Linked DNA regions of Danio rerio. The protein of the gene in region 1 binds, or shares a complex with, the protein of each later gene. Links are inferred from orthologs where the notes say so. Each region holds a gene or a part of one and is shown on either strand. Other genes may lie near its edges.

The links. Proteins that work in one complex are often made in the same cells at the same time.
Region 2: gtf2a1 (region 1) and polr2j share a complex: the UniProt entries of both Homo sapiens proteins name them as parts of the TBP-based Pol II pre-initiation complex. The link is inferred for Danio rerio from reciprocal best matches to the Homo sapiens genes GTF2A1 and POLR2J.

What each region holds. Positions count from the first base shown.
Region 1 is NC_133195.1:17,666,209-17,669,867, forward strand, and holds part of gtf2a1 (transcription initiation factor IIA subunit 1), read right to left. Parts: intron 3,413-3,659; coding exon 3,279-3,412; intron 756-3,278; coding exon 654-755; intron 304-653; coding exon 55-303; intron 1-54. UniProt on the Homo sapiens protein: TFIIA is a component of the transcription machinery of RNA polymerase II and plays an important role in transcriptional activation. TFIIA in a complex with TBP mediates transcriptional activity.
Region 2 is NC_133180.1:67,354,073-67,357,831, forward strand, and holds the start of polr2j (DNA-directed RNA polymerase II subunit RPB11-a), read left to right. Parts: upstream 1-1,143; 5' UTR 1,144-1,179; coding exon 1,180-1,232; intron 1,233-3,066; coding exon 3,067-3,156; intron 3,157-3,416; coding exon 3,417-3,591; exon of another isoform or gene 3,592-3,759. UniProt on the Homo sapiens protein: Core component of RNA polymerase II (Pol II), a DNA-dependent RNA polymerase which synthesizes mRNA precursors and many functional non-coding RNAs using the four ribonucleoside triphosphates as substrates.

The sequences.
Region 1 (3,659 bases):
CGATTAAAGCCCTGGCTCGCACTGGCCCGATAGTGGAAATGCGGCTATTCACACCTCCTCCACTTGGCCGTCCTCTCCGCCGTCTTTCTCCTTGTCTTCATCCTCATCTTCATCATACTCGTCCTCCTCCTCTTCATCCTCCTCTGAGGACGTGTCTCCTGCGCCGTCTACCTGGAGCATCATAGGAGGTTGTTGCGAGGCCTGCTGCTGCTGTTGTTGTTGTTGCTGCTGCGCTTGTGGTTGAGTTTGCACCTGTGCATCTCCCGGTCCCGACTGCACTGCCATCGCTGCCGCCTGCATGACCTAAACAAGCACACACGATTCAATTCAAATTGAAGTTGATTTGTATAGCGACATTCACAATAATATTTTTTCAAAGCAGCTTCGCAAAAGGTGTACATTACTGCATTACAGTCAGAAAAATAAAGGTTATTAGTTACCTTATAAGTTACTAATCACTAATTGATTAGTAACTAAAAGCTTTTAACAGTGAAACTTATTATATTATAAACCTGTTAATTATTATATATCTAAACCGCAGTTATATAGGATATAGGTGATGCCTGTGTACATGTTCAATGAAATGTATTTGTGAGACATCAATTTCACAGACATCACAGAGATTTTAGTTTAAGGTGAGAGCTTGTGCTGACCTGAGTGTTCTGCGGTACTTTATTCCCCGTGAGGACGATCTGCTGCGGCTGGATGATGACTCCGGTTTGCTGAGGAAGACCTCCTTGAAGAGGAGTCAACACCTGCATCAATACACAGAGAGAGAGACACTTAATACACTCCTGTTCTCATAAACCGAGGTGTAGGAGAACAAGTCTAATCATTTAAACTAAAAGACCACTTGAAATACTTTGTTTCTCTGATTTATGCCTTTAAACGGACAGTTCACTCAAAAATGTAACTTTGCTCAATATTTACTAATACACAAGTGGTTCCAAACCTTTGAGTTTCGGCTGATATTTTGAAGAATGATGAAAAACTGACTTCCATAGTAGGAAAAACATTCTATTGAAGTCGATGGTTACAGGTTTTCAGCATTCTTCAAAATATCTTCTTTTGTGTTTTAACAGAAGAAAGAAGCTCATGAACAAGCAGAGGGTGAATAAATTGATCATTTACATTTTGGTAAAAATATAGCTTTAAGTTTTGTTTAAATATGGAGTATTTCTTTTTTAATTCTTTAAACTACTGATGGCATTTCGTACAGATTTAAAATAATGTTCTTTACTGCATACCCCACCCTAATAAATAAAACATGCAGTGTTTTCAGAAGTTATATACATTAATCATTTTTAAACAACATATTTTGCTATCATATTTGGTGGAAAAACCCCCAAGTTTCAAGCATAACAAATAAAAGCATTTGTTATTGACTAATTGTCATCGTCTAAAGCAAGGGTGCCCAAACCTTTTTCTAATGTAGGGCAAAAAAGGCTAATTTGAGTGAGGCTAGTGCACAGGTGTCAAACTCAGTTCCAAAAGGGCCGCAGCTCTGCACAGTTTAGTTCCAACCCTAATTAAACACACCTGATCAAACTAATTGAGTCCTTCAGGCTTGTTTGAAACCTACAGGTAAGCGTGTTGTAACAGGGTTGGAACTAAACTGTGCAGGGCTTCGGCCTTCCAGGAATTGAGTTTGACACCTCTGGGCTAGTGGGTCGAAGGTAAATATAGTTGTCATGAGTAAATTCCTAATTTATTTATTAATATTTAAAAATGACTAGAAAACATTGCTTTTTATTAACTAACAGTTTATTGTTAGAATTTATAAAAAATTTATTAGAATGTTGTATCAATAGTGAATAGTGTATCAGATCTTTATTAAACAAAGTAAGACTAGTTGTCTCTTCTCTACATCGGTTCTCCTCCTGCGAAGCATTCACTATTATTTCTGTTATTTCCTTTTTCAAACCGACTAAGAGAGCTGACAGGCATATAACATTGGCTAGCTAAAGACCACTGCTGACACGGGGAAACAAAACCCCACTGGTCACATGCTGTCACAGTAAACCCTGCAGCCTCCAGTGACTGAACTAGAAGTGAGTACAGCACAGGCTCATTAGAAATATGTGCCTTAGCCTACATTCCTGCCAAACAAACGTTGTTGCTCTGCATACATTTCATTGCACGTTTCAGATGACAAATACACTAGAGGGCGCTGTCTACACTTTGGGGAATCAGATAGACATTAATTAGGGCCCGTTTTGTTGTACATTTCAGTTAAACATCTTTCTTAAATAACACTAACCTAAACTCCTCCCTAATCCTAGATAATAGTTTCAAAAGTAAATGTAAGAACAACAAGTGCTGTTTTACCTTGATTTTACATTGCTTTATTCTGTCAAAAGTGTAATAAAAATAAGTGCTGTTTACCTTGATTTTGCATTGCTTTAATCTTTATTTGTCATGTGTAATAACAATAAGTGCTGTTTACCTTGATTTTACATTGCTTTAATCTTTGTCAAAGGTGAAAAAATAAGTGCTATTTATCTTGATTTTATATTACTTTAATCTTTTATTTGTCAAAAGTAGAGCAATAAGTGATGTTTACCTTGATTTTACATTGCTTTATTCTTTTACAAAAGTGTAATAAAAATAAGTGCTGGTTACCTTGATTTTGCATTGCTTTAATATTTTTTTGTCAAAAGTGTAATAACAATAAGTGATGCTTACCTTAATTTTACATTGTTTTAATCTTTTATTTGTCAAAAGCAGAGCAATAAGAGATGTTTACCTTGATTTTACATTGCTTTAATCCTTTATTTGTCAAAAGTAAATGTAAGAATAAGTGCCGTTTGCCTTGATTTTACATCGCTCTAATCTTTTTTGTGAAACAGTGCTTTACAGAACTCCTTGCATACACTACTGTACAAAGTGAGTTTCCAAGCAAACTGACCACACCAGAAAAGTTTTATACATATAGTTAAACAGGCGAGGCAAACATTTTTGATTATTAAAATCATAGACATTAAGTGGCTTTGTGGTATTTATTTGGTGTGTGCAAAAAATGCATACAAGTAATCCTTTATTCACTGACAATCGGTCCATAAATACCATTAGGGTGAAAAGGAAGTAAAGTTTTTGCAGTCTTACTGCCCTGTAGTGATCTTGTCACCAAGAATTTTTGATCAAACGGATGTTTGAGGACATTTTTGTGGTTTCTCAAAAATGAAGGATAAAACTTTCATTTCCAAGGAGCCTGTGTTGAGCAAGTCAAAGATTGATGAGAAAGTGAGTGTAGTGTTTGTGCAGAATAAAGCACAGACCTGCTGTATGACGGGGGCCTGAACACCCCCAGGCTGCATCTGCGGCAGAACCTGCTGCTGTAAAAGCATCTGCTGCTGAGGCTGAATGATGTACTGAGCTCCATTGGCAGCTCTGACCACCTGCAGGATCTGACCTGTAAAGCCACCAGACACATGCTTTTGTTAGGACAAATCTGTATTTATAGTGTTAACATGCAGTTAAAGATGGAAGGAAAAGGAAGGCATGTTGGACAGAATGTTGAAGACCTCTATTCATTGACTTCTATAGTATGGAAAACAAAAATACTATGGAAGTCAGTGATTACAGGTTTCCAACATTCTATATATAATTGTGTGTGTTCAACAGAAAAAAATAACTCAAACTGGATTAGAATATGTAAA
Region 2 (3,759 bases), on another chromosome or scaffold:
CAAAATTTCTGATATTTGTTAAGTTGAGGGAGTTTGATAAGTTTCTTTGAGCTATTAGCATGTACAGCGTGTGGCTCAATTTCATTTACATGCAAATATTATGCTAGAAATTCAGTCCTGTTACTTTCAGTCCTGTTACTTATAAGAGTTACAGGAATGAGTAACAATAATGAAAAGCATCTTCTGATACTTAATAGAATGAACAGTTTTTATTATATTATTCATCTGATTTCCACACGTTATGGATGGAAATGTTGAAGTTGTAAGATATTTAAAGGAATAGTTTTCTCAGAAATGACAGTTCCACTACATGACACACACACACACACACACACACACACACACACTCTCTCTCTCTCTTTTCACTTACTGATTTGGTTTTCTTGTGAAAACTTTTTTTCCCTACAATTTACTCAGTTAAGTTCTGTACATCATATACTTAAATGTTAAGTAAATTATGTTATAAAAAACATGAATTTCAGGCCACAGTTTTCTTGAAAAAAGGGAAAGTGCCTTTGCATTCCTATAAAAATACATTTTTTTATGTAAATCGTGATTTTTTAAATACAAAAATCAAATGTTTGAAAGTGTAACAAACCATATTTTAAAAAGAAAATCACTTTCTTAAGAGGAAAACAAAGTAATTACCTGATAGACTTTTATTCATGCTTTTTAAAAGACTCGTTAGTTTGGGTAATATGACTGAAAAATGCATTCATCTGCCACATAATACCTTGTAAAAACTCAAATTAAGTCATTTTATGTGGACCAATACATATTTTGAAAAGTTAAGTATGTGTGTTATTAGATTCCGCCTTGAAAAGTAATTAAAAGAAGTTTAATTGTAAAGAGTTACAATAAGCAAAATGCATCCATTCGGTGGAATGGTCAATAATTACTCCCATGCTAATCACCATACTCAACTTTTACAAGCGATGGTCAAAATTAGATATATAATCCAACCATTTTGACCCAAAGTGTATTAAAAGACTCATAATAAAGGTACCTCTTAACTCTGTCGTTGTGTTGAAAATACTACGACCAGACTACGACACAATACTGCCCCCGGTCGTTATTCACTCAATATTACCCTTTTTCCCATGTCTTCCCATGTCATGCGCATGCGCAGTACAACGTGCGTCCATTAGTAGCATCGTTCGCTGCTGGTTTTGAAGCAGGATGAACGCGCCACCAGCATTCGAGTCTTTTTTGCTGTTTGAGGGAGAAAAGAAGTAAGTGCACTATAAAGCTGTCTTTGCTATTCAATTATACTAACATATTATACTAGCCTATAATAAGAGTAAATATTCAGTTGGAAGACAGGAGGGAGATTCAAAAGGCTTTAGCTTGTTGGCTAACGACAGGTTACGTTAGTCAGTCCATCTGAAAACAAAATACAACCTACTTCTGTTTACAGAGTGCTTTATACAATACAGCTTAAATCATATCGACGATTGATTCATTCACTATTTAAGTTTATTGTTCATTATTTTTGTATAAACGAATACAATTTCAGATGCTAAGCTGTTTGAATAAGACATGTAATACCAACATTTAGCTCAATTAAGTTTAAGTTGGTTAAGTGACCTTGTGAATCTAAATAAAAGTATTCGTTTTTAGACGTACTTTAGGTCATGATACCATGACATTTTTTGAATACCATGTAAATACCATAGTACATGTACAGTAATTGGTCTCAGCATCAAATTAAATAACAGAGGTAATACGTAACGTTAACATATAAAATTTATGCAAATAAGGTGTGCTTTAATGTTTTAAATAACTTTTAACTATAAAAATAAGATTGTCAAAAATATTAGTAAAATAACCTTCCATATAAATATGAATATATTTTTTAAAAAGTAAACCTTTATTGTAATCTACATTGATTAAAATATGCAGTAGTAAGTGCTTAAACTAAATTGTTTTGCCTTGTAAATGCCTCTTTCTGACAGATATGCTTGACAAATTTAAGTAAAATTGGTTTTGTATTCGCACATTTGGACTTTCTCCTTAATATAATTTCAGAAAAGTTTTATTTGCAAATTCTGAATAGAGAAATCATTAGCAGCCAATGACTATCAAAGTACAACATTGTTCAGTCAGGTAAATAGTACTTATGTTTTTGAGAAGTCATATTTGCAGGCTATTTTAGACTGAATATTCAAAGCAGTGTGATAAACAATATATGCACAGTGTTACAAGGTTTCACTGTTCAAAAATTACCAAATGTCTGAATATAAAACCAACTTTACCTCAATGCTTGACAATACTTTTTGGCATAAAAAAATATTTTTGCACTGAATGACATTTAAGTGAGCATCTTCTCTTAATAAGGGTTAAAATTATAGTAGGATAAAAAGATGATAAATATGATGATAAAGCTTATTATATTTTGTATATTTACCTAGAAAAACATTTTTCATCTCTGATCTACTTAACAAAGTGACATATTACTGCCAACATTGTACCATGATACCACAGGGTCTGCGGGGTCTTAAGAACTATTAAAAGTTGATTAATCAATGTAGAGAAATGTAAGGCCCTTAAAAAGTATTTTAAAATCCTAAATGCTATTTTGCAAGGTGTTAAATTTTATATAATTTTGATTGTGCAATGTAGGTATGGTTGTATGCTAAAGTTTGCCTGAATTAAATCTAAATGTCAGGATGCTGTGTAGTTTATGAAATCAATGAAATCCTGCTAGATTTGACATCATGCAGTTTTGTTTACTGCAGTTATCAAGGAAAAACCATTATTTCTGCAGTTCTATAGGCACCAACCTGCTGAATTAGCTATATTTAATAGATTTTAATTCAATATAATTATGTATATCAATATGTAAGTTTTTTACATTAATATTTAATAAATATACTGTAAGTTAAAATCTCTTTATTGTTTCCGATTGAAATCTTAAGTGATAATAAGGTCTTAAGGTCTTGTATGGAGAGAGTCTTAAAGGTATTGAAATTCACTCTCTGGTTCCTGTATATACTCTGTACCAAAACATTACTATTTTTAAAAGTAAGGGATTGCCTAAAATTTCTGTTCAACTTCTTTTTACAGGATCACAATAACCAAAGACACCAAGGTGCCGAATGCATGTCTGTTTACTCTAAATAAAGAGGATCACACACTGGGAAACATCATCCGATCGTAAGAGACCAAACTTTTGATACACTAAAACATTTTCAGATATTTATGTGGGTTTTGTAATCATCCTATATTTACATTAGAGCAATTCCATGCAAATGTCAACCTTGTCATGAAAAAGATTAGGTTTTAACTCTGTGGTTAGTTGTTTTGGAAAATATAAACAGATGTTTCAGTATAATGTTAACACATACTTTCTCTGTGAATGTGTTTTGAGATCTTACTGCAAATGTCACATTTGTAACATTGGAATTGCTCATTAGGCAGTTGCTGAAGGACCCCCAGGTGCTGTTTGCTGGATATAAGGTTCCTCATCCTCTGGAGCATAAGGTTGTGATCCGCGTTCAGACGACACCAGACTACAGTCCTCAGGAAGCCTTCACTAATGCCATCACGGATCTGATCAGTGAGCTGTCCCTGCTGGAGGAGCGATTTAGGGTATGTTCATGTGTTTGCATTGAGTAAAAAATGATTCCAGAACAAGCGCTCCTGAAAAAAATGCACTCTATAGCAGCACTGCAAAAGACAATTGAGGTAAAGTTGGTTTTGTATTCACACATTCAGACGTTCTACTTAATATTATAATTTCAGAAAAGTATTATTTGC